Mus musculus: one gene and its partner. The protein of the gene in region 1 interacts with the protein of each later gene in a pairwise test. Links are inferred from orthologs where the notes say so. Each region holds a gene or a part of one and is shown in the gene's direction. Other genes may lie near its edges.

Region 1 (16,446 bases):
AGTATTCTACTCGTGGGGGTGGGGGTGGGGTGGGGTAAGAGCCTGGTGTGCTAAGAGAGGAATATTATACCTTAACCCTACTAAAACCCAGTCCTTCCTGATTAGCAAAAACACTTCCACTGAACAATGAAATGTGACTTAAATAAGAAAAAAAAAATCCAGCAATTTAGCTTCAAATATGCAAGTCTCAACACAAGGACAAAGGCTAAAGAAAAAGCAGTCTCCTCCAATAGTTACAAACCCATAGTCATGGCCCCCAACAAGAGGGAATTAGACAAAGGTGTACACAAAGATTTTTTTAGAAAAATATTTATTATTTATTTATTTTTATGTATATGAGAGATCCATCTTCATTCACACCACAAGAGGGAATCAGATCCCATTACAGATGGTTGTGAGCCACCATGTGGTTGCTGGGAATTGAACTCTGGCAGAGCAGCTAGTACTCTTAACTGCTGAACCATCTCTCCAGTCCCCACAAAGAATTTTTAAAAAGGATTTATAAATATGTTCAATTAGATCAAAGAAAACACAAGTCCTGGATGAATTCTAAGAGAACACAAACATCTGAATAAAATAAGGAAATACATATGGGATATGAAAATGGAATTCAACAACGAGGTAGAAATACTGATGTGTGCAGCTACAGAGATGGCTTAATGGTCAAGAGCCCTTGGTGCTCTTGCAGTGGACCCAGGTTCAATTCCTGGTACCCACAAGGTGGCTCAGACTGTCATAACTCCAGTTCTAAGGAATTGGACAATTTCCTATGCCCTCTGTGGGCAGTATACATATACAGACATGCAGGGCAACACTCATCCACATAAAGTAAAAGTACATCTTTTTAAAAAAAGAAATACTGATGAAAAAGCAAACATAAAATGTCTTCAATACAATCTTAACAGAAAATTCTCAAATATGGGGAAAGAAGTTGGGTATGGTGGGTCATATCGGAAACTTCAGCATTTGGGGGTTCTAAGGCCAGGAGAATCACTGTGAGTTCAAAGATAGGTTAAGCTACAGAGTGACTTCCAGGTCATTCTGGACTAAAGTGAGACCCTGCCTTAAACAAACAAACAAATCTAAGTAGAGAGATGTCTGTCCAGAATTAGTATTCTATAGACAAACAGGACTAGAAAAGAAACTTCCTCATCATATTATAATTTAAACACTAGCTATACAAAACAAACATAGTATATTGGTTGAAAACTGCAAGAGAGAGAGAGAGATACTGAGTTATACAGAGACAGACTCATCAGAACAACAGCTGATTTCTCAAAAAAAAAATGTAAAAGCCAGTAGGACTTGGGATGGTGTGCATCAAGTTCTGAAAGATCACAGCTGTCAATCCCTGAGATTATTCTCAGCAAAACCGACATAATTTTTTAAAATATTTATTTATTTATTATATGTAAGTACACTGTAGCTGTCTTCAGACACTCCAGAAGAGAGCATCAGATTTCGTTACGGATAGTTGTGAGCCACCATGTGGTTGCTGGGATTTGAACTCAGGACCTTTGGAAGAGCAGTCGGTGCTCTTAACCGCTGAACCATCTCACCAGCCCAAAACCGACATAATTAAAGGGGGGCTTTCCATGATTAAAAAAAGAAAAACAGGTTTAAGAGTTTATGTCCACTAAGCCAGCTCTCCAGAAGATACTGGAAACAATTCTTTAGACTGAGAAGAAAGATGAATGCAATAGTCTATAAGGGGGAAAGGGGACCTGGTGAAGTGGCTCAACAAGTGAAGGCACTTGCTAAGCCTGATGACATGAGTTTTGATCCTGAGAACCCAGAGTCAAAGGAGATAAGATAATTCTCAGACCACCACACACACATCCACAACATACATACAGAAATAAATACATGGGGCTGGAGAGATGGCTCAGCAGTTAAGAGCACTGACTGCTCTTTTGGAGGTCCTGAGTTCAATTCCCAGAAACCACATGGTGGTTCACAACCATCTGTAATGGGATCCGAAGTCCTCTTCTGGTGTGTCTAAAGACAGTGACAGTGTACTCACATACATAAAAGTAAATAAATCTGCCGGGCGGTGGTGGCACACACCTTTAATCCCAGCACTTGGGAGGCAGAGGCAGGCAGATTTCTGAGTTCAAGGCCAGCCTGGTCTACAAAGTGAGTTCCAGGACAGCCAGGGCTACACAGAGAAACCCTGTCTCAAAAAACAAGAAAACAAAATAAATAAATAAATAAATAAATAAATCCTTTTTAAAAATTAAAATAAGGGGGGAGGGTATGAGGGACTTTCAGGATAGCATTTAAAATGTAAATGAAGAAAATACCCAAAAAAACAAAAATAAAACAGAAAATCACACTGGGAAAAAATTAAAATAAATAAATAAATAAGTTTAATTTTTTGAAATTAAAAATAAAAGAGGAACCATAGAGATGACTCAGTGGTTAAGAGCACTTGCTGCTCTTCCAGAGGACCAGAGTTCCCAGAATTCCTGCTAAGTGGTTCATAATCACCAGAGAGCAGAGAGAGTGTGGGGTGGGGATAAGGAAGAGAGAGAGAGAGAGAGAGAGAGAGAGAGAGAGAGGAGCGAGAGAATGATTAAAAAATAAATATTTAAAAATAAATAAAAGAAGCTGGGTAGTGTGTCAAGTGAGAAGCTTTCCATAGACCGAGACTGACTACAGTAATAGGGAAGGAACAGTGAGAAGCAGGGAAGCCATAGAGCACCTGCATCACTTACACTACAGACAGAATCCATCCCCTCCATCCAGCTGTTACCTCGCACGAATGGTGCCTGGTTTCAGATCTTCCAATAATCAAGGGTTTCAGGTGGACTCCCCTAACTTTAAGAGAGCAGCCATGCCAGACAGTAGTGGTACAAACTCTTTGATCCCAGCACTGGGGAGGCAGAGGCAGGCAGATCTCTTCAGTTTGAGGCCACCCTGATCTACAGAGTAAGTTCTAGAACAGCCAGGGCTACACAGAGAAACCCTGTCTCAGAAAAACAAAATACTACTACTACTACTACTACTACTACTACTACTACATTAATAAATAAAATAGACATATTTAGCTTGGTATTGGGAACCTCAGCCAAGGCAGGAGAATCATGATTTCCTACTAGTCTGAGCAACTTAGTCTTGTCTCAGAAGATACAAACAAGAACAAATAGACACATTCAAATGGGTATTTCCTTATCTCTTCACTCAATCTACAATACTCCTTATTTATTTATTTATTTATTTATTTATTTAATGTAAGTACACTGTACCTGTCTTCAGACACTCCAGAAGAGGGCATCAGATCTCATTATGAATGGTTGTGAGCCATCATGTGGTTGCTGGGACTTGAACTCAGGACCTTCGGAAGAGCAGTCAGTGCTCTTAACCGATGAGCCATCTCTGCAGTCCTACAATACTCCTTTCACCTAAATTCCTTTTCCTCTGACTTCTCCCATGAAGAACTGTGCCACCTCATGTCAAAGACTATACCCTCCAGACTTCTGCATCCTTAAACTTCTGGCCCTCTTGATTCTGTCTCTTAGGTGCAAGGATCACAAGAGTGTGCTGCTATGCCAGCTTCCATGTCTGTTTCATAATCATTGAAGGACATAGCTCTCTCAGTACTCTCTGATGCCCTCTGTACCACCAGTTTCTCTTTTTGGAGCCACCAGCACATGCTCCAGTATCTTCCACAACTAAGACTCCAGCTGGACACATTGGTTCAGAGCTGTAATCCCAGTGCTTGGGAGGTAGAGACAAGAGGATCAGGAGTTCAAAGCCATCCTCCACTATTTATCAAGGTTGAGACCAGCCTAGGCAACATGAGACCCTGTTTCAAGAAAAAAATAAAAATAGAAATAAAGAACCTGCTCTGAATTGTGCCAAACTCTTCCAACTATGTCTTGGTGCTTCGTCACCCTCCATTTCCTCTTCAATCGACTCCAGTCTCATTTTGCATCATTCTACAGAACCTGCACTTGTCAAAGTCACAAATGACCTATCACCAAATATGGCAGATGCTTTACTCTGCTCACCCGCTCAGCGGCAGTGGGAGACTATAAGTTAGCATCAGCTGTGTAGCCTGACTTGTCTGCTCAGAGCTGAAATTTGTGGGGTTTTTAGTGGTTTGTTTTTATTTTATGCACGTGAGTGTTTTGTCCGTGTGTATGTATGTGCACTGAGTACATGCCTGGTGCCTGTGGAGGCCAGAAGACTACACTGGATCCTCTGGAACTGAAATTACAGACACTTGTGACCTGTCATGTGGGAGCTGGAATGTGTACTTGGGTCCTTTGCAAAAGGAGCACATGCTGAGCCATCTCTCCAATCCTTTTGTTTGTTTTGAGACAAGGTTCATGTAACCCTTGTCCTGGAATTCACTATGCAGACCAGGCTGCCCTCAAACTTACAGAGATCCACCTGCCTCTACTTTCCAGGTGCTGAAGCAAACACCACCACACCAGCTCCATCTTCTTTATTTTAAAAATGTATATTTTATTTTTATTAATCTTGCACTATTAGCTTTCTTTTTCTTTCTTTCTCTTTTTCTTCCTTCCTTTCTTTGTGACAGTCTCATGTAGATCGGGTTGGCCTCAAACTCATTACACAGATATGTAGCTGAGAGTGGCCTTCATCCTCTTGCCTCTGCCTCTGCGGCCTGAGTGCTGAGATGCCATGAATGTATCTCATGCCTCAGTTTGACACTTTAAGAACATTTGTGGTTAGTTGTATGTGTATCTGTACATGGGCACACAGAGACATTGCATAGGGCATGTGTAGAGGGGAGGGGACAATTGGTTCTAGTCGTTTTCTCTCTCCATTCTATGGAACCCCAGGATCAAACTCAGATAGTCAGGCTTGGTGGCAAAGTGACTTTACTCACTGGGCTATCTGGTCAGGAACGTACATGTAGTCTCCCCTCCCATAGGTCCACCCAGATAATCCTTCTCTCCCACCTGCCCAACTCTATGTCCTTTCTTTTTCTTTTTGAGACAGGGTTTCTCTGTATAGCCCTGGCTGTCCAGGAACTCACCTTTCCACCATGCCCGGCAAAATGTACAAGTGAAAATCTTTTTATTGAGAAAGAATGAAAAACAGATTGATGACTGCTTGGAGATGCAGGGGATTGAACCTGGGACCTCACACATACGAGGCACACACTCTATCTCTGAGCTACATCCCCTAGCCCTCTATGTCCTTTCTTTCTCTCCATCTAGAAGACAAACAGGCAAACAAAACAGAATTAGAAAATAAAAACAGCTGGGCAGTGGTGACACACGCCTTTAATTCCAGCACTCAGTAGGCAGAGGCAGGAGGATTTCTGAGTTCAGGCCAGCCTGGTCTACAGAGTGAGTTTCAGGACAGCCAGGGCTACACAGAGAAACTCTGTCTCGAAAAAAAAAAAAAAAAAAAAAAAAAACAAAGAAAAAGCTTGGGAAATACATAGACACACAGACACACAAAACAAAACCCACAAACCACAAAATCAGAAACTGTAGTATACAAGCAAAAGGCCAGTAGACAAAAAAAAAAAAAAAAAGCTCAAACAAAGCAACACCAGATGAAGTCTACAAAAATACCATTGAGTCCAGTTTTTGTTGGCTATCTACTGCTGCGTGTAGAGCCTGCCTGTAAGAGTGGTTTGTATCCCCAGTGAGAAAACTAGTTTTTCCCCTTTTCAATCAGTTAACTGGAGGTACCTTCCGGATTAAGGATGGGGGCTTGCATCTACCTCCCTTCTAAGCACGGGAGCCACATCTGGTTTACGCTGCTGCAGGCCCTGTGCATGCTGCCACAGTCTCTGTGAGTTCCTGTGTGCATCAGTCCTCTTGCATTTAGAAGGCCTTATTTCCTTCATGTCGTCCATCTTTTCTGGCCCTTACAATCTTTTCCACCTTCTCCTCTGTGGGATTCTGAAGAGGGCTTTCATGAATACATTCCATTTAAGACCAGAGCTTCTCACTCTCAATACATTGTGGGTCTCTATGTTGGTTCCCGGCTTCTGCAAGAGGAAGCTTCTCTGATGGTGGCTGAAAGAGGCACTGATCTACCGGTATAGGAGACTGTCATTAGGTGTCATTTTATTGCTGTGTGTTCCTTTAGCAGAACAAATGCTTCCTTTGCTAACTGTTCCTTTTTCTAAATGCTTACAGAGCTTAATGTGTTCTCTAAACGCTTGTAGTTAAATCTCATTAACTTTGCTTATCATATATCATAATGATCCTAACAATCAGATAACACTGGATGATCATATCACAATGCTGGCTTATCCTGAACCTCTTTCCTGCAGTGTAATCAAAGGCCTGGCTTTACCTGAAGGAGGACAGAACTCCTCAGACTGCTGAGGGCAGTGGTGGGCTGTATCTCCCCCATGGGCTCTTTCTAAATATTTACAGCTCAAACATTTTTGTTGCAAGCTAAAAATGTGTCCCCTAAGTACTTCAGCTACAACACTCAAGGTTCATTTCATAGTGTTTTCCAATTTCCCTTTGTTTTTGTCCTTTGACCTATTTCCATAAAATAGAGTCCATAAGGTTACACAAATTTATGGATTTCACATGTTTCTTTCTCTTACTAATTTCTAATTTTGCTTTGCAGTCTTTCTTTTTTTTTTTTTTTTCTTTTGTGGTCTTGGGATGAAACTCCAGGACCCCAGTATGCTGGCAAGGTAGATAGAAACATTATCAGCCCTTAGTCCTTAAAACATACTAAACGCTGTTGTGTGGAATACTACATGGTGTGTCTTGGAGAATGTTCTTGTGAACTTCAGAAAAATCTATATTCTGTGCTAAGTGTGGTGGTGTGTGATTAGTCCTAGAATTTAGGAGAGTGTGGTAAGAGTCCAATACCAGACATGGCTACACAGTGGAAACTGAAGTTCCTAGAGAAAAGAACAGGTACATCTGTATGGACCGTTCTATAGGACCAAATGACGGAGCTTTGTGGTTGGGGTGAGTAAAAATGTTACAGAGGAGAGACAAATGACCTTGAGCTACTTTTAATCCCATTGAAAACAATTCCTTGTCTTCCCTTGAATCTGAACGAGAAATCTCGTGGTTATCACAACTTTTCAAATACATACTTAACAGCGAGCATCTATGAATCCAAAAGCTAAGAATGTCATCAGACAGTATCTGAAACCTAAGCAGAAATTTCCTCATCCCACTACCTGTAGTCTCTATCAATAGATTTAGTAAATGCTTTGACTTAGGACTTTCTTTGTTCTGTAACTACTAAAATGTCATTTGACCACTTCCACAAAAGAAAATATCTTTCTGGACAACCTGAATCCTGGACATGGTCACTCATATTTGACTCAAGAATGAATTGTTGGAGCTGGAGAGATGGATCAGCGGTTAAGAGCACTGACTGCTCTTCCTAGAGGTCCTGAGCTGAGTTCAAGTCCCAGAAACCACATGGTGGCTCAAAACCATCTGCAATTGGATCCGATGCCCTCTTCTGAGGTGTCTCTGAAGACAGTGACAGTGTACTCACATATATAAAATAATTATTTTTAAAAAATTAAAATTACATTTATTTATTGTGTGTGGGAGTGCCTGCGCCTGTGAATGCCGTGTAACACATGTGGAGGTGAGAGGAAATTGCAGAAATCGGTTCTCTAGTTCCATCCTGTAGGGCTCAGGGACTGAACTCAGTTCTTCAGGCTTGGAGGCAATTGCCTTTATCTGCTGAGCCTCGCAAATGTAGGTTTTCTCGCCCTCGCTATTCTTTTCTCCTTTCCTCTTTATTTCAGCTATGCTTCCTAAGTACTCTGCTCCAGGTTCTCCTTTAATTATTAGGATTTACTGTGGTAAGTGGTAGCATCTACCACTGATGGCGTTTCCCACTGTTCTGGTCTTGCTGCCAGCCAGATTGGCAGAAAACTAAACCACGTTCTGAGAATCGGCTTTTGGCTCCTTTTGCCTGGTGAGGTCGCCCTAGCGATTGGGCTGCCTGGGAGCCACGTGATCTAAACGGATGATGGCGGGCGCCGCTGAAGATGTGCGTGTGCTCTTCGGAGCTGCAGTCCGAGCTGCGCTGGAGGCTTGGCCTGCTTTACAGGTAAGTGAGGTCCTGGCGGGGGGTCACGATTAAGGCTGTGACAAAATAGAAGTTGACCAGGCGAGGCGCCAGAGCCATGGCTGGGCGGTGTAAGCGGCAGACTCCCAGGCCCCGGCAGGCCACGCCGTTCTGGTTTCCATGCTGTCATGGTTGGCTTGGGCCTGTGTTCACAGATCGCTGTGGAGAATGGCTTCGGGGGCGTGCACAGCCAGGAGAAGGCCGAGTGGCTAGGGGGTGCAGTGGAGGATTACTTCATCGCCAATGGTGAGTGAATGTGAGGTGTTGCTGTCTGTCGCAGTGTGGCGTGGCAGAGCCTCGACGTAGAGAGCCCGCGTTTGATGAATGAATCGTGACTTTGAGATCAGAATTGTGTCTTTAGAGTGCCTTAGAGGCAATGACACTCAAATGCTATTATGCTGGAGAACGCATTTTGCCTTCCAGAGAGTCATTTTCCTACTTTCTAAAATGGTTATGGAAAGATCCGACGAAAAGAACTATTCGAGTCATATCTTGTAACTTAAAATTGCTGGATGAGGGGTGGGGGACAGCTCCGTGGACAAAGGCCAACAAGCATAACAGTCCGAATTTCATAGCTGGGACAACATGGAAGGAGAGAACTGGTACACGCTTAAGGTGTCCTCTGATTCTCCCTACACAAGTAAATATAATTTTAAAATTGTTGGGTGAGGAGTGTAGCCCAGTGGTAGAGCACTTTCCTAGTCTGCTCGTGTCCCTGGGCTCCAACCCTGGTGCCACCAAAACTAAAAGCAGTACCTCTGATAAATAAAAGGCAGCCAGGCCCTGTGGTGCAGGCATGTACTCTCATATTCCTGATGCAAAAGGACCTCAAGTTCAGATTCACCACAACCTTGTCTCATAATAAAAATAATATAAAGACTTGGAGATATAGCTCAATGGAAGTGCTTGCTTACTACACACATGTGAGGCTCTACACTACTCATACTACCACAAATGAATAAATGAATGAAAGAAGCAAATATTATAGTGTTATTAAATTCATATCCAAGGTCTAGCATATGGGCCATGTTTGTGATTCTAGCACCAGGGAGACGGAGACAGGGGAATTGCTCTAAGTTTCAAGCTCCATATCCCCAAGTTGTCCTTATGATAAAAGAAGGGGCTGGAGAAATGTTCAGCTGTTAAAAGTGCGTCCTGCTCTTCCTAACCTGAGTTGGGTTCTCAGCTCACAACCACCTGTAACTCCAGCGCCAGAGGATCCAAAATGTTCCTCATCTGTACACATGTGCATGCACATACATGTAATTAACAAATAAGTAACACAGGGCTGAAAGGATGGCTCAGCAGTTAAGAGCATTTGTTCTTGCATTGGACCTCGGTTCCGTTCCCAGCACCTACATGGTATCTCATAGTTATCTATGACTCCAGTTCCAGGGGTTCTGATATCATCTTTCTGTCCTTATCTGGGCACCAGGTACACACAGTGCACACACAGGCAATCAAAACAACATGCACATGAAATAAATACAACAAAAATCCTCTTCCAAAATATTTTAGTATGTCATAAGAATTAAGCATTTTTCACTTTTAGTATTAAATTTCACAATCTGGAGTTTATTTATTTATTTAGGTTTTTCAAGACAGAGTTTCTCTGTGTAGCCCTGGCTGCCCTGGAACTCACTCTGTAGACCAGGCTGGCCTTGAACTCAGAAATCCACCTGCCTCTGCCTCCAGAGTGCTGGGATTAAAGGCGTGCGCCACCACGCCCGGCACAATCTGGAATTTTAAAAGTCTTAGTACGTCTCATTTGTGACCAGCCACATTCTAAGTGCTTGTGCTCGATAAGCACATGCTGCTGCTTCTACACAAAAGTTCTACACTTCCATTTTGTCTTGGTGGGGTATAAAAGAACAAGAGGACTTAGAGTATTGCATGCTGTTTTTTTTTAACTCTTCATTAACATCCTAGGTTTTTTTAAAGATTATTTTATTTATATGAGTACACTGTAGCTGTCTTCAGACACACCAGAAGAGGACATCAGATCCCTTTACAGATGGTTGTGAGCCGCCATGGGGTTGCTGGGATTTGAACTCAGGACCTTTGGAAGAGCAGTTGGTGCTCTTAACCACTGAGCCATCTCTCCAGCCCCCAATATCCTAGTTTTGAGGATGGTATTAGGCAGATTCACAGCTCAACATTTACAATCTAGTGAGTGATTTCAGGTAAGTAAATGAATAGTTAAAATACTGGGTGGTGTGTGTTATGCTAAAGAGGAGCTCAGAATTCTTCAGTTAACTGAGCCTGAGGAGAAGCCTTTTTGATTTGATTTTTGTTTTTTGGGTTTTTTTTTTTTTTTTTTTTTTTTGAGACAGGGTTTCGCTATGTAGCACTGACTATTCTAGAACTCTTCTGTTGACCAGGCTGGCCTCAGACTCCGAGATCTACCTGTCTCTTGTCTCCCAAGTGCTGGGATTAAAGGTGTGCGCGCCACCACTGGTCAGTAAGAGGCCTTCTTAAGAGTAGCGATTAGAGTGAGGCCTAAGGAATGAAAAGGGGGAAACTAGGTAGAGATGATAAAGCATGTACTCAAAGGAGTTAAGTGCATTATATTAAGGGGATGGAAGAGTGGTAGAGAATGGTGTGTGTGTGTGTGTGTGTGTGTGTGTGTGTGTGTGTACAGAGACACTGACTAAAGGGTAAGAGATAAAAGGCCTTCTGTGACTTTGCTTATAGAGATAGAAAGCCAGTGTCTGTAAAATTCAAGCTATAAAAGACTTGTCTCGTTAGATATTCAATGAAGAAAATGTTTCTCCAGTCAAATTATAGAAGCTTTTTTCTTCCAGCTGCTATTTTATTCCTAGTAGTAGTAGTAGTAATTGGAGACAGTATCTCCTTCTATAGCTCAGGCTGCCATGGAATTTATGTTCCTCATGCCTCATTTTCCTGAGTGCAGGGTTATATAGGTGTGTGCCATCAGTCCTGACTCTGTTTTCCATTAGCTTTTTATGGAGATCTTCCCGTAAAACTCAGCAAAATTGAGCTGGGAATGTAACACAATTGGTAGAGTATTTATCTAACATAAGAGGTCCAGGGTTCAATCCCTAGAGCCACATTAACCAGGCATAGTGATTCATGCCTGTAATCTTAGCACTGGGAGGTGAAGGAAGGAGGATAATCAATTACCAGGAGGAATTCCAGGCTAACCCTGTATTATATAGTGAGTTTGATGCTAGCCTGGGCTACATACCTGTTATAAAAACAAAACCCTGAAACTCAGCAAAATATTTCCTAAAGGCAAGCTTCACAATAGGTGATAAAATTCATGAGCAGGTTCTAAGGTAAGTAAGTAGTGTTTGCTAGCTAGAAAATTCAGAAAGTAGTTAGTATAGAAAATAATGTCTAGGGGGCTGGTGAGATGGCTCAGTGGGTAAGAGCACCCGACTGCTTTTCTGAAGGTCCGAAGTTCAAATCCCAGCAACCACATGGTGGCTCACAACCACCCGTAATGAGATCTGATGGCCTCTTCTGGTGCATCTGAAGACAGCTACAGTGTACTTACATATAATAAATAAATCTTAAAAAGAAAAAAGAAAATAATGTCTAACGTAGGACAATGGCAATGGTCAGAGAAAAAGAGAGTATCAATAGAGGGGGTTTGGAAAAGAGATTTATGATGAGTGGCAGGGTAGATAGAAGCCTTTCATTGGATAGAGGAACCTTGGAGGATGAGATGCTGGTTTGGAAGGCAGGATAATAAACCTGGCTTTGGATATAGGGACCTGTTTAACATTTGGACACATAATTAGCCTGAGTGGAAGACAAAATTTTTTTTTAAGATTTATTTATTTATTATATGTAAGTACATTGTAGCTGTCTTCAGACACTCCAGAAGAGGGAGTCAGATCTCGTTACAGATGATTGTGAGCCACCATGTGGTTGCTGGGATTTGAACTCTGGACCTTCAGAAGAGCAGTCGGGTGCTCTAACCCACTGAGCCATCTCACCAGCCCCGGAAGACAAATTTTAAGGCTGTAAGATTTGAATGGTAGGTAAAAGTAGAAGTGTGGAAGAGCTATGTCTGGGAGAAGGCATATAGGGAAAAGAAAGCTAGTCTTTCATTTAGGAAAGATAGACCATTGGCCCAGAAGATAACTGAGCTCCAAAGTCTGAAGGCAGTATTGAGGTTATGATTTCAGTCTTGAAAGTAGTGCATGCAGCGGAGGCTGTAGCTCAGTAGTTGTTTGCCCAGCATGTGCTTCACCCTGGGGTTGATCCCCAGCACCAAAAATCAATGAAGTCCCGTGTCCATTTCTTCTTACCCATTGCCCTTGAATCTCTGGACTCCTGTATTAGTGGAGCCACAGTTGTGAAGGGTCTCCACATTTCAGTACTTCAGCTGTGAAGTGATGCATATTAATATTAGGGATTTTATCTCCCTTGTGACAAGCACTGTGTAAATGAGTCCTCTCAACAAACCCTCCTGAAGGCTCTGAGAGGAGCAGCTTGCTCAAGGTCGCTCTAGCTGAGGTTGGTTAGAATAGACAAGTAAAAGAGGGTGTTTCAGTGAACAAGGGGTCACTGGACCTTTACCTGCTAACCAGATATAGCAGGCAAGTATTGAAGAATGGTGAGGGCTGATGAAGTTGGCCTTTGGTTAAAGGGTTCTGTCCTTTCCTATTTAGCTGACTTGGAGCTGGAAGAGATAGAAGATTTTCTTGGGGAGCTGATGACCACTGAGTTTGATACAGTTGTGGAAGATGGGAGTCTGCCCCAGGTGAGCTTATGGAGACAGCTGCCAGCCCCCTGCCTGCTCTTTCTCCCTACTGTGTTAGGGACAAGGTTCTTGTGATCATTCTTTTCTTGAGGCGCAGACATTCCCTATTGCATTTTCAAACATTCCTTTATTTCTCTATTTAGATCATTCTCAACCAGTATTTTCCCCACACCCCACAAGCTGGGTTGGAGCAAATTCCATCCCTATTCTGATTAACACTGCTTACCCTGGTGAGATCATCTTTCATTTTGCATCTTCAGTCCCTTTCTCTTTTTTGGGGGACAGTGTTTTACTCTCTAACATGGGTTGCCTGAAATGTACTGTGTAGCCCAGCCTACCTCAAATTCATAGCAGTCAGTGTGCCTCAGCTTCCTAAGTACTGGGATTATAGCTTGTGTACCACTTAGTCAATTCTAGTACCTTCCTTCTCTTCTAGGAGGCCCTCATTCAAGGCTTCACGCCCTCACCCCAGCCCTTGAATTGTGGTTGCTTCGATGAACTTTGTTGTTGCTTTATTTATTTTTGAGACACAGTCTTACTATATATCCTTGGCTGTCCTAGAATTTGCCATGTAGACCAGGCTAGCCTTGATCTCAGAGATCTACTTGCTTCTGCCTACTGAGTGCTGGGATTAAAGATGTGTCAGCACTTCCAGCTGTTGTTTTATTGACAGTGTGTTACTATGAGGCCAGGCTGACCTCAAACACAAAATTCTCTTGCCTCTGAGGTCTCTCATTTATATGCATCCACCACTGTGCCCATCTGCTTGGATGAACTTCTTAGGGAGAAAAAGAGCCCTGAAAATTCCAAACCCCCTTCTCTGCTGTAAACAGGCTGGTTTTACGGTAGATTGTCTGAAAAAAAATCTAAGGCGGTTGGCTATTTCCTTGGTAGGTGAGCCAACAGCTACAGACCATGTTCCACCACTTCCAGAAGGGTGATGGGGCTGCTCTTCAGGAGATGACCTCTCAGATCAACCAAAAAAAGTGCAAAGTCACGGCTACCCCACTTATGACAGCCAAAGAAACTGATGTGGCTGAAGATGATGTGGACAGCGTGGAAGAAATGGAGGTGAAAGAGGTGCCTGTACTGAGGGGCGGTATTCCTAAATGTTTTTAATTTTCTAGCTAGATTCACAGGGAAGTGATGGCGGTTGTAGGTGGTAGTGGTATTTTCAAGGATAGCTCACATAGTCATGGAAAACTTAGTAGCAGAGCCTGGGTAATGTACTTAAGAGACTTCTCTTGTATCTTCCTTCCAGGTGACAGCTACTAATGATGGGGCCACAACTGACGAGGTCTGCCCACAGCCTCAACCCTCTGATCCAGACACCCAGACTATTAAGGAAGAGGATATAGTTGAAGACGGTTGGACCATTGTCCGGAGAAAGAAATGAGCAGGGCAGTACATGTTTTGGGCCCTCGTTTGTTAAATGTTATGAGACTTATAGGAGCTGTTTGGGGGCTATACACCTCTGTTCTGGAAACCATAACCCTTCTTTGTTCCCCTGTCCTTCCCTTCAGGAGAAGGAAAGCCCTAGTTGTGGGGTTGATGGGACCTATTCCAGCCCCTTGAATCTTAAGGTACCATATGAGAGCTAAGAGCAGGTTTCCCAGCATAGTACCTCCTAGGTGCAGTGACTATGAAGACGGCTGACAAGTGTGGGTGTGGTTGTAGACCAGACTTGTGGAAAACTGGCAGGTACATTTGTGGAAAGGACCAGAATTCCACAGTGGTAGGCTGGCTGGATTGGTAATCCAGCCAGGATAAGCATACAGTTGGAAGAGAGAAAAGATGTAGACATCTCTACATTCCCCAATGTCCCCACCCTAGCCTCCCTCAGAACAACCCTCATCCTGCCCAGAATTTGCATCCTCCTGGGAATGCTCCCTGTTTGAATACCCTTGAGAGTTTGAAGGACTTGACTAAAAGTGGTGAACTTGAGAAAGTTGGGCTGTTTTAAGTCCAGGGATGAGGCTTAAGACCTTAATAACATATAACATTTTCTTGTTTAATCCATGATTTAACCTTGGAATCAGCTTTCTGCAAGCTGAGCTTCAAAATTTGGCAAGAGAGTAGTTTCTGTACCCTCCCATCTCCCTTAGTAGCCTGGGACTTTGGACAAACGGACGGACCATAGCAGTGCTCTGAAAGTTACTGTATGCCTGAAATAAACTGTATTTTTCTTTAAAAAACAGTATCCATTGTCCTCCCCCCCCCTCCCCCATTCCCGTCCTGCCCAGTGGCCCTGCCATGGATCTGGACGATAAAATACTGGATTGCTTTGGGGCTAGGTAGAAGCTATAAGCCATGGGAAAGGCAAGAAGGGTCTAGTCACCACCCCATGTAAGGTCATACATGTGAAGACACTGGCTGAGGAGGAAAGGGTGGGTTGGGGTCCCAGGGTCAGTAGCAGAGCTGGCACTTGAATCCAGGTCTCCTGCCTCTGGTACTTTTGTGGGGAGCTGGGTGGAAGTGGGGTACTGGGAGGAAACTAATTCAAGTGAGTCTAGCAATTAGCTCCCGCCCTCCCTGGGGACAGGGATTTAAAAAATTAACATCAATGTAGGAATAGTTTTTTTTTTTTTTTTAAAAAGCCCACCTTTTGTGAAAAGATGAATTAAAAAACCCATGACCCAGCATTCGGGATTGAAAGTGCCCTTGATGGGAATTCAAGTATTGACTGCATTGGGAGTGGGCTGGAGCCCCCAATTGAACATGGGCAGCTGGAGTGTGGGGCAGAAACTCCCAGTTCCCCCCAAACCCTCTAGGTCTTGTCTCGGGTCTGGGAGGCTTCAGGAGGTTCAGCAGTGGCTCCTGAGGCTGCCACTGGTGTCTCCTCCATCTCCTTGTCCTCAGACAGTGTGGGCCCTGGGCAGAATGTGTCCCCACGGCCCGCCCTGCCGAGAACAGCCATCCAGCGCCGCTGGAGTTCTTCTGTCTCTGGGCTGAAGTACCAGCTTAGGTGGCTTTGTGTGATCTTGAAGACATGCCTCCTGTCTGGCCGCTCTCCTGCCTCAGGAGGCCCCACCTCAAAGCCAATGAGGGGCAGGCTGCGCTGGGCTTTCACATCCTGGAGAGAAGGAACAGAGAACTAGTGTCATCTAGGGGCTAGGCAGTATCCTCTGCCCAGTCAAACTGCTCTGTTCTGCTGTTTCCCTCTGCTGAAGAACACTGATTTCACTGTAATGAACAGGAAGATATCTGAACTGGGACTAGAAGGCAGGCTGGTTTACATGGCTATCTCCTCCCATGCCCAAATCAACTATTATAGATTCAGTCCTTTGGCTAGTTCCTCTATCTGCCTATTCTGTTCTACTTAAGTGTCAGACCTAGAGGTGCCTGTCTATTCTACTGTTTTCTCCAGAAAGCCAGACTTCCCACCTCACCCTCATTGTCCCCATACCTTGGCCTCCAAACTCTTCTACCTACCTATTCTGTCACATAAGGATAGGGGTTTTAATTTTCCCCTTTGCTAGGCTCACCCTGCCCCCAAAGGACAAGGAGAGGAGCAGCCCAGCTTTGTCAGATGGCTGGAAAAACCTGAAGGAGTGGGATGCACACCTGAGGGGCTCCATAGATGTACAGCACCAAGGGTTCATTCTCAGGAACCACAAACCATGCCTTGTGCCATCCTTTCCCACCCTTCTCCA
Region 2 (16,127 bases), on another chromosome or scaffold:
AGCTCTGTGTACACCCAAATGCAGCCCATCCCCAGCCGACTGGAGCTTCCAGGGTCCCGAGAAGCAGGTGAGGGACCGGAGGACCTGGGAGATGGAGGTCCCCTCCTTTATCGGGCCCGAGGCTCTCTGACTGACCCTGGGGCATCCCCCAGCAATGGCTGCCAGGACTCCACAGATACAGAGAGCAACCACGAAGACCGGATTGGTGGGGTGGTATCCCTTCCTCAGGGTCCCCCACCCCAACCTCCTCCCACCATAGTGGTGGGCCGGCACAGTCCCGCCTATGCCAAAGAGGACCCCAAACCACAGGAGGGGTTACTGCGGGGCACCCCAGGCCCCTCCAAGGAAGTGCTTCGGGTGGTGGGTGAGAGTGGTGAGCCAGTGAAGGCCTTTAAGTGTGAACACTGCCGCATCCTCTTTCTGGACCACGTCATGTTCACCATCCACATGGGCTGCCACGGCTTCAGAGACCCTTTTGAGTGTAACATCTGTGGTTATCACAGCCAGGATCGGTATGAGTTCTCTTCCCACATCGTCCGGGGGGAACATAAGGTGGGCTAGAGACCTCTTTCCCCACAGCCTGCTCTCAGCCCGGCCCCCACCCTACTGCCCTACCTACAGGGGTCTAGCCCAATTCCTGTTACACCCTAAGGAGTTTTGCGTTGTAGCCCCACCCACTGGCCGCCTCACTTCACACTTGACTCCAACCGTCTTTGCCTGTTCCCTTCTACCCTGACCGATTTGAGCATTTCGACAAGACAAGTCTCTTGCTTATATTTCTCCTTCTAACCTCTCTCCCCGGCACATTTGCTTTTTAAATTGACTTTAACTTGGCCTTTTCTTAGTTTACTGCAATCTCTGGCCACTCCTTCATTCTTCTGCCCATGGCTCCCTTCTGCTCTAAGCCTAGATTTTTTTTTATTTTATTATTATTATTATTATTATTACTTGTGTGTGTGTGTGGATCCCACATCCTCCAACAGCTCCAGGGGTTGGAAGCTCCTCTCTGTGCTAAGAGACGTTGGGCTTCTTGCTTTAATCCTCACCCTTATTTATCTGACCCTTCACTTTTGATGCTGATACCTCCCAACGGCCCCACCTTAGCTCTGTGGCATTATTATCTCCTCTCTGGGACCTTTCAGCCCGGCACTCCATACCTCTCGTGCCCACTCACTTTAGGCAGCTTGCACTATTCTTAAATGAATGAAGAATTTCCTCATTTGCAGGTAGGAGGGGCTGTAGAAACTCTCCCCAGGCACTGTGGACTGAGGGTCCTCTTGACCTCACCTGGGAATCCGAGCTCCCTAAAGACTACATTCAGGACCTCCCTCTAGGATGTGATACCACCCTTCCCTCTCCCTGGCTCACCCCTCAACACCACTCTGGTCTCAACTCGCCACTCTTGTCAGTTGGTGGCTTTTCTCTCCTTGGAATGCCCCCATTTTATATTCTCAGGGGCTAAGGCTAGACCTGCTACCCTTTCTCTGACACACAGAGAGAGCTGCAGGTACCTAGCTGAGAACCAGGGCATGGGAAGGGGGATGGGTAGAACTCTCTCCTCCACCTTTCAAACACTTACACTCCAGTGACCTTCCTAGGCTCTCAGGGACTCCTTCTGTCCCCATATTATGAGAAACCAGCGGGTTGCTGCTCGATGACCAGGGGTCTCTCAACCCTGTCAGTCACGCTGCCTTTTTCCTCCCTTCCAGCAGGACTCGCCGTCTCGTCCCCAGGCTCCTGGGCCCTGTTATGATCAATGGCAGGGAGAAAGGGGATGTCTCTTTTCTCTCTGCCAATTTTCAGTATAACCAAAAAAACTGTCCCAGGATGAACTACACGTATGTGCCCGTCAACCATTCCACCCTTGTCCCAGCAAGAATGGGACGGACACAGCTGGGAGTCACCTCCACTGCCCTTTCCATACTTAGCTCCAGACACAGGGCAGGAGAGGCAGTCTTCTCTGGTGGTTGCAGACACTCTGGCTATTCGGATAATCGAGGATTCGTGAGACCATGCAGGAGGAGGCATAGCTCCATTGCAGGTGGAAGTCTCTCTCTCTAAAGAGTTCCCTGCCAGGGCCACAACCATCCCACTCTCTGCTTCTTTGAGATTCAAACCAAAGGATGTTTTTTCTATATTTAAAGAAAAGGAAAAAAAAAGAAAAGAAAAAAAAAAAAAACCAAACACAACACCTCATAAGTTATAGTCTTGGTCTTCACCCTCCCTTTCTCTTCCCTTCCGTCCATCTTCCTTCCCACGTGCCCTTTCTTTATCTCTTCTGCCTCTCCCTACTTTCCTCACTCCCTGTTAGGGACGTTGAGAGGCACGAGAAAGGGTGGGCTAGATCAGATCCTGGGACTGGGGCTCTTAAGCATTCCGAAGAGAGTCGACTTTCTCCTATCGGGAGAAGGGTAGTGGGGTGAAAACCACTCTTTTCTCTTCTTCCTTCGGCCCTGGCACTGCTTCCCAAAAGGACCAGATTGGCAGAGAGCAGCTCTGTGGGGCTGTTCTTCCCTGACAATGTAGCAATAAGCAGGTGCTGCCAAAGGCAAGAGAATGAGGTCTGAGCTCTGAAAGGAGTGGTCCCGAGACAAGGGAAGGGTCGCCACAACAGAGCCTTGGCACTAATTCCTTCTTGGGCTGGCACACAGCTGAGGTTACTGTCTGGGCTTCTCCTCAACCATTCTGGTTGTGAGCTCCCATTAGACCCGCTCCCACCTCTTCTGTGTCTGCCCTGTATTCGAGGACACCTCAGAAGGACTTAGTCCCTCTGAGGCGCTAGAGCCTTAGAGTGCCCCACCCCTCCCTTTGTTTAGTCAGTCTTAGCACCTGTGACCTCCCAGGAACACAAAGGACTATGCTCCTCCGAGGCTATGCTAACGCCCATGAGAGCAGAGGTGGAAGGGACAAGACCAGGTGCTAGGGAGGAGGGGGCATGGCGTCTCTCTCCAGCCCACCACTGCACTTTAACCAGGGTCTTAGGTACAAAATGCTACTTTTCAGGGCCTTCCAGCTCTGGAACCTCAAACATCCTCATGCTCTCTCCCAGATCCTTTTGCATAAAAAAAAACAAAACAAAAAAACCAACAACAAAAAAAGTAAAGAAAAAGAAGAAAACAACAACAAAAAACAAAATGCCAAAATCCACACAGAGAAAAGAGGTGTTCTCTCTCTCTCTTTTTTTTATTACTCTTAAAAAAACAACACCACAAAAAAGTGGAGGGAAGGGAGAGAATTTCTAAATAGACACTTTTCCAGACCTTTGTGTGTGTGTGTGTGTGTGTGTGTGTGTGTGTGTGTATGTGTGTGTGTGTGTGTGTGTGTGTGTGTGTGTGTGTGTGTCAGTGTCCAAGCTGCAAGTGGAATTTTATAATACTTCTGGCAGCTTCTTTCCTTGTGTATATAATATATATATATTTTTAATCAGAAATTATGAAGATCAAAAATAGAATAAACACAGAAGCAAGTGCAATACCACCTCTCCTTCTCCCCAGAGTTCCTCTGTAGCCTGTTCGGTGTCCCCTTTGGCCCTTGACCCTTGACCTTGTCTCTCTTCCTCTGGTTCCTGACCTATTCTCCCCTTCCCTCTTTTTAAAGAGTTTTTCTCTTTTCTCAAAGGGGGTTAAACCAGCTTTTGAGACTTACTGCAAAGCATTTTGTATATGTAACATACTGTAAGTAAATATTTGTGTAATGGAGAAATACTACTGTAAGTTTTGTACTGTACTGGCTGAAGGTCTGTTATAAATAAACACGAGTAATTTAACCCCTGTTTGTTCTTGAAGACTCCCTTTCCCTTGTTTTCCTTCTGGGAGGGAGGCAGACTTCATACCAACTATTTCTCTGTTCAAGACTTAGACAAGTCTAAGACTGAGAGGAAACCAGACAACACTACTGAAGTTGTTGGTCTAGCAGAACAGATTTTTTTTTTTTTTTTTTTTTGGTTTTTCGAGACAGGGTTTTTCTGTGTAGCCCTGGCTGTCCTGGGACTCACTTTGTAGACCAGGCTGGCCTCAAACTCAGAAATCTGCCCACCTCTGCCTCCCAAATGCTGGGACTAAAGGCATGCACCACCATGCCCGGCGTCAGAACAGAATTTTTTAAAGGCAGGGCGTCTCTCTTTGTAGCCTGGCTAGTCTGGAACTTAAAGGAATCTACCTGCTTCTGCATCCCAATTTCTGGAATTAAAGGTGTGGGCCACCGTGACTAGCCTGTATTATTATTTTAATTTATTTTAGATTATACTTTGATTATAACATTTCTCCCTTTCTTTCCTCCATATACCTAGCCCCAGTTTCTTTCAAATTCAAGGTCTTTTTTTCTTATTATTATAATAACATAATGATTTATATTATTATTATTATTATTATTATTGCACATATGCATACATGTATATAATATGCATATATTCCTAGATATAGCCTGTTCAGTCTGTATAATGCTACCAGTATGTATGCATCAGTGTTTACCATTTGCTACAGGATAACCAGTTGGTATGGTCTTCCCTGGGGACCTCTCTCGATTTGCCCCCAGCTTTCTCCAGTTGCCTGCACTTCTTTGTGCGGGACTGAGGCCCCATGGGCTTTTCCCTATTCAATGTGATGTGTTCTTTGGTATCATCCTTGTCCAACCTGCATTTGGGCAGTAGTATTGGTAAGATTACATGGGTGTGGTTTCTGATGCTGCAAAGGAGACACACTCTCAAGGCAAACTCCCTGATCCTCTGGCTCTTACAGTCTTTCACCCCCTCTTCTGCAATGCTCCCTGAGCCTCAGGTGCAGAAATGTTTTTGTCATTGTATCCATTGGGACTGTGCTCCACAACTCTGCATTTTGATTGGTTGTGGTTTTCTGTAGTGGTCTCCATCTGTTGTAAAGAGAAGTTTCCTTGATGAGGGGTGAAGTCTATACTTTGTAGGTGTAAGGACAAACGTTTATAGATTGTTGCAAGGGATTATGCTGGCATAGTAAATTAGAAGTCATAGCTTGCCGGGCAGTATGGCACACGCCTTTAATCCCAGCACTTGGGAGGCAGAGGCAGGCGGATTTCTGAGTTCGAGGCCAGCCTGGTCTACAGAGTGAGTTCCAGGACTGCCAGGGCTACACAGAGAACCCTGTCTTGAAAAGAAGAAGAAGAAGAAGAAGAAGAAGAAGAAGAAGAAGAAGAAGAAGAAGAAGAAGAAGAAGAAGAAGAAGAAGAAGAAGAAGAAGAAGAAGAAGAAGAAGAAGAAGAAGAAGAATTTGTAGTAGCTTCTCCTCCAATAGCCATGGCTTCACTAGCACTGAGTAGTTAACTAGCTTTCCATGGTCCCCCTCTCACTGACTGGTTCTTTTGGTTTTTTTAAAGATTTGTTTATTTATTATATGTAAGTACACTGTAGCTGTCTGCAGACATTCCAGAAGAGGGTGCCAGATCTCCTTACGGATGGTTGTGAGCCACCATGTGGTTGTTGGGATTTGAACTCAGGAGCTTCAGAAAAGCAGTCAGTGCTCTTAACCCCTGATCCATCTCTCCAGCCCCTCACTGACTGGTTCTTAAGTCCAACCAGAGAGTTGTTGGTTACTGTGAAAATATGTGTGCCACTACTGCACCTTAGGGTTATATGCCATGCTGGTCATTGATGTGGTTAGTGGGATCATAGCAGGAGAACTTTAGGTTGACTCCCTCAGATGGTGCCCTCTGGTACCAGGAAAGCTAGATTTCAGGGAGGAAATATTCAGGTCAGTTCCACCTCAGGGGTCTCTGGGCCTTGCTTCTGACATGCTTCCTGTATTCAGAAATAGCAGGAACATACCTTCCATCTCAGAGATAACCAAGGGCAACAGGAAGAGGCTGCTGCATGCTTGAGAGTCTCTTGGACAACCCTGGCCAACACCTCAAAAGATGGATTCTCTTTTTGGTATTGTTTGGTACTGGGGTTTCGTTGGGTGGTCTTTAGCTCTCAGAGGGAGCACCATCAGCCCCGGTGAGAAGATGCATTAAAAATATATGTGTGTATTTATTCATGGGTTGATGTGTATTATAGGGTTTCTTGGTAAGTAGGTAATGCAGTATAATTTTTTGTGGCTTTTTACAGAAATGTTTGTTTTTTTCTTTTTGGTTTTTTTGAGACAGGGTTTCTCTGTGTAGCCCTGGCTGTCCTGGAACTCACTCTGTAGACCAGGCTGGCCTCGAACTCAGAAATCCACCTGCCTCTGCCTCCCAAGTTCTGGGGCTAAAGGCGTGTGCCACCACTGCCTGGCAGAAATGTTTGTTATTTCATCCACTTCCTTCTTCTGTATTTACCTCCCTCCCTTTTCCCTAAAGAGGTCCCACGTCCCTATCAGATCAATTGTATACTACTAGTCTCTTTTGCCTTCTTTGAATCTTTTTCGGAATTTACTTTGATCTTCCTCCCTAAGGAACACCTCCCTTCCCATTTCCTTGATCAGGTCACATGTACACTGCCGCTTCCCCCGCTACTGCTCCCCAACCCCCGATCCTGGCAGTGGTTCCACTTTACTCTCCCACTTCTGCAGTTGCTCTAGGATATATGATATGTGAACTCACACCTGAAGGTTTGCAGCTAAGAGCCTCCAATGACAGTGACTTTCCAGGTCTGGGTTACCTCGTTCAGGGTGATCTTTTCTAGCTCCATCCATTTACCTGCAAGGTTCATGATTTATGTGTGTGTGTGTGTGTGTGTGTGTGTGTGTGTGTGTGTTTACAGCTGGACAGCATTCCACAGTGTATATGAACTACATTTTCACTACGTGTTTGTCAGATGTAGGACATTTAGGTTGTTCCATCTCCTGCCTATTGTGTTTGGAGCAGCAATGAGCGTGTCTAAGCAGGTATCTGCAGAGTAACATGTTGAGTCCCTCTGGCATATGCCAAGGAGAGATATGGCTGGGTCATGTGATAGATTTATCTCTTGAAAGTTCTCCACACTGATTTCCATAGTGACTATACCAGATTGCTATCCCACCAACAGTGAGTGAGTCCTCCCCATCCTCTCAGTCATTTCTTGTCAGTTGTTCCATTGATCTTTGCCATTCTGACCAGAATAAGGAAAAATCGCAAAGGTATTTTTATTTTTTATTTATTTATTTTATTATTTTTTTTTTTAAATTTTTTTTTTTTTTTTTTTTTTGGTTTTTCGAGACAGGGTTTCTCTGTATAGCCCTGACTGTCCTGGAACTCACTTTGTAGACCAGCTGGCCTTGAACTCAGACATCCGCCTGCCTCTGCCTCCCAAGTGCTGGGATTAAAGGTGTGCGCCACCACGCCTGGCTGAGAAATATCTTAAAAGAAGAAAGTTCATCTCTAGCAATTAGGGAAATGAAAATCAAAAAAAAAAGAAAAAGAAATTCAAGGTCACACTTGGCTAACCAAATAAGTTCCAGGTCAGCCTGGACTACTTGACTATGTTTCAAAATAAATAACTATCTGATAGACTTGATCAGTTAAATTGTGTTGGTACATACAATGTACTAACTACAGTGCTTCATCTGTGTTAATAGGATCTGGAAATAAAATGGTGGTCCAAGCCCAGCGTGGTGGCCTAATCCCAACACTCGAAGCCTCTATTTGGAAAGACGCATTTACAAATGGTTTATTTCTCCCAGGTCTTCTATTTCTAATTCCTACACTTAGAACACATATTTCAAAGAAATAAATCATGGCGTCTTAAGGTGGTTTAGCGCCGCCTTTAGTCCGTCTACTACGGGCAAGAGAGAACCTCTCCAAGTCGTACTACAACTCCCACAATGCATCTCTTTTGTCCTCCCACACTAGGGAGTGTGCGTCCGAATTCTGGATAACTTCCGCTCTGGAACTATCGTAAACCGGATGTTATAGAGCCTTGTAATCACTTCCTGGTTTGGGAATGTAACATTTTAATCTTCCGCCGGAAGGTTAAATAGTTCCACTGATATTTTTCGTCATAGACCATTTCTAGGGACTTATCACAACCCTACATTTCACAGGAAACTCTAAGTAATTAGGTAAATTCGAGCATAATAGCTGCTAGGGAGTAAATAGAATTACAGGTCGCTGAGGGTTTTTTTTTTCAGCGTGAGCGTAGGAATCTCGTACTATATAAGCGGGTCGGGCAAGCCGCCGGATCCTCTTTCGAGTCTTGGCTCCAAGATGGTGAGTGTCGCCGCGTGGTGAGCGCGCGGGCCTGGGTACTGGGGTAGAAGTAGATCTATGGACGGTAGGGACCTGAAAGTCAGAGTCTTGGAGGAGAAAGTGACAAAGGGTCCGTCCAGCCCGGACTTGGCGTGCTCGGGACTTGTACGGGTCTCTGTCGGGGCTGCGGGCGGCGGCCGGCCAGGAAGGGCTGAATTCTCGCCCCCTTTCCAATAGCGTCTCTTTCCATTCTCAGACCAAAAAAAGAAGAAACAACGGTCGCGCCAAAAAGGGCCGCGGCCATGTGCAGCCCATTCGCTGCACGAACTGCGCCCGGTGCGTGCCCAAGGATAAGGCCATCAAGAAGTTTGTCATTCGGAACATTGTAGAAGCCGCTGCTGTCAGGGACATATCTGAAGCAAGCGTCTTCGACGGTAAGTGAGCCACAGCCGTGATTTGTACAGGGACGAAGAGTGAGGAGGGTGTGTATGGCTCGTTGTCTTCAGCTTGGGGAGAAGGTGCCTTTTGTGGCACAGTAAGCAGGCCTAATGATGGGGTTTTAACTTGGTTTTTCTCTTGGGGTGGAGATTGAGGCTCATGCATGGTAGCCAAACCCCTGCATCCCATCCCTGTGAGAGACTGCCTATTTAGGAGAATCTGAAAAAGCATAATTCTTTAGTTATTGAAAAAAATTGAACAGCTTTTAAAACGGGCAAAGACTGGTTTGGGCAGTTTGTGACTTGGTTTTTGGCGTCTCAGAACTCACTGTGTAGACCTACTCAAGAGATCTTCCCTAGTGCTGGGATTAAAGGCGTGCACCACAGCACCTGGCTGGCTTTTGTCTGTTTGTTCATTGTTTTGTTTTTTTCTTGACCTAACAGTAGTAACCATGAGGCCTGCCAGCAGAGTGAGACTCCCTAACTTGAGCTATTCTCATATTGTGTGGCCCACTTTGGCTTTGAGGATGCCTTGGCCTTTTGAGTGGCAACCTCTAGCCCAAGAGTTGAACTCTTGGTGTATGTTGGGTGTGGTGTTGGTTTCTCTGGTTTTCATTGGGTGTCATTTATCAGTAAAACTTGGAGGTTAGGGTAATCCTGACCAATAGAATAAGAGAATCACAGGAAAGGGCGTCTGTCTAATCTGCTTCTCGATTTCTCAGCCTACGTGCTTCCCAAGCTCTATGTCAAGCTGCATTATTGCGTGAGCTGTGCCATCCATAGCAAGGTTGTTAGGAATCGATCCCGCGAGGCCCGGAAGGACCGAACACCCCCACCACGATTCAGACCTGCTGTAAGTAAATTATTTTAACTTGGGACATACATAGTCTTACCCAGAGAAGTATCCATTAAGGTCTTATTTAGTCTGTGTGGCAGCTACGACCTACATTTAAATTTTAAAAATGCTTGTCTGTTTTGCATAACCTGAAACACTTTTAGTGATGCTAGGTGGGTGGTGGTTGGTTTCTTTGGTTTGAGGTGCTGGGTCCTCAACTTAATGCTGGTAAGTGCTCTACTGTGAACTACATGGGTGGGTGGGTTTGGTTTTTTTTGTTTTGTTTTGTTTTAAGAAGTCTCGCTGGAAGCCAGGCGTGGTGGCGCACGCCTTTAATCCCAGCACTCGGGAGGCAGAGACAGGCAAATTTCTGAGTTCGAGGCCAGTCTGGTCTACAAAGTGAGTTCCAGGACAGCCAGGGCTATACAGAGAAACCCTGTCTCGGAAAGAAAAAAAAAAAGAGGTTTCACTGGCCTTCGCTCACCTAGGACTCTTGATTCTTCTGCCTCTAGAATGCTGGGGTTAAGTAGGCAACCGCAGCAGATCCGAGTACCTCATTTCTAATTTAGCTCATCTCTTGTTTTTCAGGGCGCTGCACCTCGACCTCCACCAAAGCCCATGTAAAGAGGCCGTTTTGTAAGGACGGAAGGAAAATTACCCTGGAAAAATAAAATGGAAGTTGTACTTTACATGGCATCGGAGTGTGTTTATGTCGAGACTCTTGTGTGCGTTTCAGGGGGTCCATAGTGCAGAACTTGGTGCTTTGGGCTCTGTACACCTTATTTTCTAAGGCATTCTCTGCAGGCTGGCCAGCAGTGAGCTCCATGGATCCCGTTTATGCTGCCTGGACTCCCAGCAAGCCATGGGATTACAAGTGTGTTCACTGGGCTCAGCTTATGGACAGGGTTCTGTGGATCACCTGGATCCTTGTAAGACTTAACAAGCCAGGGTTTCTGTTTTTATGGTGCAGGGCACTCACTGGTCCCCGGCCCTACAGACTTTAATGTGACCATAGGATGTTAAAGTTTTAAGCCAGTTTAATTTGTTTTGAGGCATGGTCTCATGCCTTCATGTCTTGCTGGCTTTGAACCTAGATGCCTCAGTACCTGTGAGTCAACCATCTCTGGCTAAGTTGACCACTTAACCTTTATCTGAAAGGAGGCCAAGCTTTGACTGTAGAGCACAGACTGGCCTTCACCCTCTCCCCTCAGCCTCCTAAACACTGGCATTTGCAGGTAGTGAAACACCCACCCACACCCCCACATACACTCCTGGTAGGTACCTGGTAACTTAAGAGCCTGGTAAAAGGTCATTATCATAAAGAGAGGATTTGGAAAAGTTTCAAAGACAATAAAAGTGGGGAGAGGGAGTGGAAGAGATAGCTCAGCAGTTAAGAGCACTCACTGGCTGCTCTTACAGAGGACCCAGTTTTCGTTCCCAGCACCTATGTAGCAGCTCTTAACCTCTGAGCCATCTCTCTAGCCCCTTGTTTGTTTGTTTGTTTGTTTAGACAGGGTTTCTCTATGTAGCTCTGGCTGTCTTGGAACTTACTTTGTAGACTAGGCTGCCTGGAACTCACAGAAATCCAACTGTCTCTGCCTCCCAAGTGCTGGTTGGCACTCCAAGAACCAAGAGACTGGTTCTCATGCCTTGGATCCCAGCCCTGCGAGGCAGAGGCAGGTGGATCTCTGTGAGTTCAAGGCTAGCCTATTCTACAGAGCTTCACCACTACCAGCTAAAGGCATGTACCACCACCCTGTCCCCAAATGTCAATGTGGAGATGCACATCTACAGTGAGGTACACAGCTGCACTCTCCATATTCAGGGTGCTGCAGCGATGGTTCCCATGAATTTGAAGCCAGCCTGGGCCATGTAGTGAGTTCTAGGTCAGCCTCGACTGAAGAGTAATAATGTTTTTTGCTTTTTTTATTTTTGGTGTTTGGTTTTTACCAGACAGGGTTTCTCTGTGTAGCCCTGGCTGTCCTAGAACTAGCTCTGTAGATCCAGGTGGCCTTGAACTCACAGATTCTCCTGCCTCTGCCTCCCAAGTGCTGGGACTAATAATATTGGCTTTAAAAAAAAAAAAGCTAATTTAAAAACAAAAGGGGGAGTTGGGCGTGGTGGCTCACGCCTTTAATCCCAGCACTCGGGAGGCAGAGGCAGGCGGATTTCTGAGTTTGAGGCCAGCCTGGTCTACAGAGCGAGTTCCAGGACAGAGCTATACAGAGAAACCCTTGTCTTGAAAAAACAAAAACAAAAGGCTAGCTTTGAAGTTCCATGTTTAGTGTGGATGGAGGTGCTAGTACCTGCAGAGACCAGAGATGCTGGGTCATATGGAGCTGATAGTTTGTATGGTAGCTGGCTGGATGCTGGGATTTGAACTAGGGTTCTTTGTAAGCAGTTGTGCACTGAGCAATCTCCAGCTCCCTTCATATGAATGTCAAAGCCAGCAGCCCACTCTGTTTAACCTAGTACAAGTGTTACCCTTTCCACTAGGTTTTGTTTGTTGCTTTTTTTTTTTTTTTTTTTTTTGAGACAGGGTTTCTCTGTATAGCCCTGGCTGTCCTGGAACTCACTTTGTAGACCAGGCTGGCCTCGAACTCAGAAATCCACCTGCCTCTGCCTCCCGAGTGCTGGGATTAAAGGCGTGCGCCACCATGCCCGGCTTTGTTTGTTGCTGTTTAAGAGATGTAGTTGAGGGAGGTTTGCTGTAACCTAGAATCCTATCTAATTTGCTTCTGAGGTGTCCACACTAAGTACATAACTGAGTAAGTGTTCAAGGGAGATGGGTCCTTTGTAGGCTGGTGTTCGGCTGAAGTGGAGTCCATTGAGGTACTGGACTGCCTTTGCACACATCCTGATTCTTAGACTTTCCTTCTTGAGTACCCCAGAATTAGTGTGTTTGAGGAAGATAGTATTCATTGCCTACCACTATAGCATCATGTTTTAGTTTGCACATTTAGCTTGTTTTTAAGTTGTTTTATTATACACCGTGTGTATGCAGTGTCCATAGTGGCCAGAAGAGGGTGTTGGGATACCCTAGAACTGGACTCTCTGAAGGCTAAAGGCACTCTTAATTGTTCAGCCATGTCTCTAACCCGAGCTTTTTTTTTTTTTTTTTTAACTGTGAACATTTTATGTAGTGCTAGAGATTGAATTTAGTGCCTCTTGTATGCTGTGTTAGTTAATTTTTTCCAACCTGCCTGAGCTTAGTCCCAACAGAAACAGTTTAAGGGAAGAAGGGCTTATTTTGATCCACAGTTGCAGAATGTGTAGTCCCCTCGTGGCCAGGAAGGCATGGTGGAACTCAAAATGTCAGAGACATAACAGGCTTATATCCATTGCAGTGGACAATAGGAAGCAAGGGCTGGCCAGGAGCTGGGTACAACTGCACACATCTGTAATCCTAGCACTCTGGAGCTGGGGAATTGATAGTTCTTAAATTAGCTGGAGGGTGGGGCTATACTACAGGTAGAATTGTTTGCTTAATGTCTCAGGTATTTCAAGACAGGGTTTCTCTGTGTATCCCTGGCTGTCCTGGAACTCGCTTTGTAGACCAGGCTAGCCTCAAACTCAGAAATCCACCTGCCTCTGTCTCCCTAGTGCTGGGATTAAAGGCGTCCGACACCACGCCCAGCTCAGGGTTCCTTTTGCTGTGACAAAATACTATGCCCAACAGGAATTTGGGGAGAAAAGTTGATTTCATTTTTGACTTCCAGTTCCCAGTCCCTTACTGAGGAAAGTCAGGGCAGGAAGCAGAGACTATGGAGGAGTTGTGCTTACTGTCTTGTTCCACAAGACTTGCACAGCCCTCCTTGCTAACAGCTTCCAGGACCTCCAATCTGGTGGGGATTCTCTGTTGAAGTTCCCGCTTCCCAAATGACTCTAGCTTGTGTCAGGTTGACATTAAAGCCAACCAGCACACTTAATGTGCGTGTAGCATAATCAAAGTGTGGTACACACCTGTAATTCCAGTTCTTGGCGGGGAGGGGTGGAGGTTGGCATTTCAAGGTCATCCTCAGCCACGTAGTTCAAGACCAGTCAGCCTGAAGTACATGGGACCCTCTCACAACAAAAAAAAATAAACTTCCTAACCAGTTGGAACCAACAGTGCTTGCATTTTCCACTAGTGACCTACATCTGATAGTCAAGCTGCCTCCTAAGGCTCCCAGTTCCTAAACGCCTCCAAAAGAGTGCCCCAGATGTGACCAAGCCTATGTGACATGGGCCTATGAGGGAAGGTTCTGGTTGGAATGAGCATGAATCAACCACAGCTGGCCCTCAAGACATTTTTTAAGACTTTTAAATTTTCTGTGTATGAGTATTTGAGCTGCATATGTGTTTGTGTCCCAGCAATGAAAGAGGTTAGAAGAGAGTCATCTGGAACTGGAGTTATAGATAGTTGTGAACCACCATATGGATGCTGGGAACAAGTCTTTAGTCATCTTTGTGCCCCTCGCCTTAAAATTTTTCTATTACATTTATCTACTGTGTGTGTTCATTGTCTATTGAGCCATCTTGCTGGCTCCCAAAGTTTATTCTTGCTATCAGGGATGAGGGAATGTCCGCTTAATGTGTTAGAGTTTGTGACCCCTGGGAAAGACCATAGACTCAATTTAATTATAATCAAAGGATTTATTGATTAGCTCCTAGCAGGGTGACAGCTTTAAAGCTCAATCTGAGGCATGTCATGAAGGAGGGGCAGAGGGAGGGTTTTTAAAGGGGAAAACCACAGGAAGACCTTTAATGTCTATGCAAGCAAGTAGAAACTGGTCTGTTCTCCCAAGTTAAGTGGTTAGGGTAACTAAAAACAACCTTTGGCCAGGCAGTGGTGGCACATGCCACTAATCCCAACACTTAGGAGGCAGAAACAAGTGGATTTCTAATAAATTCAAGGCCAGCCTGGTCTACAGGGCCATAAAAACAAACAAACAAACAAACAAAAAACAACCCTGTCTCAAAAAAAAAACTAAAAAAAAAAAAACAAACAAACAAACAAAAACAATCTTTGCGGGTTGGAGAGATGGCTCAGCGGTTAAGAGCGCTGACTGCTCTTCTGAAGGTCGTGGGTTCAAATCCCAGCAACCACATGATGGCTCACAACCATCTGAGATCTGATGCCCTCTTCTAGGGTGTCTGAAGACAGCTACAGTGTACTTACATTTAAAAAAAAAATCTTTGGGTAGCTGTGTAAGTAAGTTACAGAAGCCAGAAAAGCAATTAGTCATAACAGGTGGGTGGTGTAGCCACAGGCTTTTCCACCCAAGGCCCAGTTTTCAGAAGCTTATTATTAATTAATAAATGCCTAGGCCTTAAGCTAAGCTTGTTCCTCGACTAGCTTGCAGCGTATTGAACCTGTTCATACTATTCTATGCCTGCCACATGGCTGGTACAGGGCTCCAGGGGAGTTGACATGAAGACACCAGGGGAGCAGGAGCAGCCAGGGCAAGACTAAGATGGCGGGTAATGCCACGTGGCTGGCAAGTAGGCCAGGTCAGCATTACTTGGGTTAAAATACCTCAGTATCTGCCCAGCTATAGTGCTGAAGCTAATAAGAAATGGAAGGTCTTCATGTATTGGGCATAGAAAAGCCAAAATAAATTTTTTTGTGTGTATGTGTTTTGTTTTGTTTTTCGAGACAGGGTTTCTCTGTATAGCCCTGGCTGTCCTGGAACTTACTTTGTAGACCAGGCTGGCCTCGAACTTAGAAATCCGCCTGCCTCTGCCTCCCGAGTGCTGGGATTACCACCATGCCTGGCAGCCAAAATAATTTTTACAAGGTAGTCATGCTAAACATTTTTGGATGGGGGATCATTGAGTCAGAGTTCCAGGGACTGGACTCAGAGATGGAACAGTTAGTGGCTGCCACGAAGGATGCTGAGTTTCTTGGTAGGCAGTCGTGGCACACACTTTTAGTCCCAGCACTCAGGAGGCAGAGGTAGGTGAATCTCTATGAGTTCAAGGCCAGCCTGGTCTACAGAGTGAGTTCCAGGATAGTCAGGGCTACAATTAAAAAAACAAAACAAAACAAAACAACAACAACAACAAAAACAATCTTGGGAGGGAAAAGTTTCTTTAACCATCATAAATTAATTAAACTAATGAGTCTTATTAAAGTAGACTGGACCCTTAGATGAAAAGAACAGGGGCTAGAATAAAATAATTTTAAATTTTACTTTATTTTATGTGGCATGGATGTTTTGCCTGCTCATATATGGTTGTGCACCACACATTGTGTCCATGGAACCCAGAAAAGGGCACCAGGTCCCCTGGAACTGGAGTTACAGATGGTTTTGAGACCCAGTGTAGTTACCAGACATAGAACCTGGGTCCTCTGGAAGAACAGCCAGTACTTTTAACTGCTGGGCCATCTCTCTAGCCCTGTTCAATAAATATTCATTTCCTATATGCTTGGGACTTTCATCAGAGACCAAGTCTTTGTTGCACAAAGCCAACTGGCTAAAAAGAGTCAGGTATGAGCTGGAGAGATGGCTCAGCGGTTGAGAACCCTGACTGTTCTTTCAGAGGTCCTGAGTTCAATTCCCAGCAACTACATGGTGGCTCATATAAAATAAATAAACCTTTTTTTTTTTTTAATCAGGTATGGTGGCACATGCAATCCCAGTATTTAGGAGGCAGAGGCAAGTGGGAAATATTTTTTTAAAAACTTGCCAACTCTCAGCGGGGCCAGTCCACACTCCAGCGCTCCTGTCGTGGCTACCAACTCTCTGGGGCTAGCCCCC

What was found.
Region 2: the proteins of Tsr2 (region 1) and Rps26 interact in binary tests that used the Homo sapiens proteins (3 or more experiments, as listed by UniProt). The two-hybrid records come from large-scale screens. The link is inferred for Mus musculus from reciprocal best matches to the Homo sapiens genes TSR2 and RPS26.

Annotation. Positions count from the first base shown.
Region 1 is NC_000086.7:151,088,023-151,104,468, reverse strand, and holds the start of Tsr2 (pre-rRNA-processing protein TSR2 homolog), read left to right. Parts: upstream 1-7,925; 5' UTR 7,926-7,956; coding exon 7,957-8,040; intron 8,041-8,213; coding exon 8,214-8,304; intron 8,305-12,701; coding exon 12,702-12,793; intron 12,794-13,687; coding exon 13,688-13,873; intron 13,874-14,054; coding exon 14,055-14,189; 3' UTR 14,190-15,560; coding exon of another isoform or gene 15,561-15,866; 3' UTR 15,867-16,357; coding exon of another isoform or gene 16,358-16,446. Other genes in the region: Fgd1 (FYVE, RhoGEF and PH domain-containing protein 1), read right to left, coding at 15,561-15,866, 16,358-16,446. UniProt on the Homo sapiens protein: May be involved in 20S pre-rRNA processing.
Region 2 is NC_000076.6:128,618,482-128,634,608, reverse strand, and holds Rps26 (40S ribosomal protein S26), read left to right. Parts: upstream 1-8,102; 5' UTR 8,103-8,130; coding exon 8,131-8,133; intron 8,134-8,368; coding exon 8,369-8,546; intron 8,547-9,271; coding exon 9,272-9,402; intron 9,403-9,972; coding exon 9,973-10,008; 3' UTR 10,009-10,080; downstream 10,081-16,127. Other genes in the region: Ikzf4 (zinc finger protein Eos), read left to right, coding at 1-561.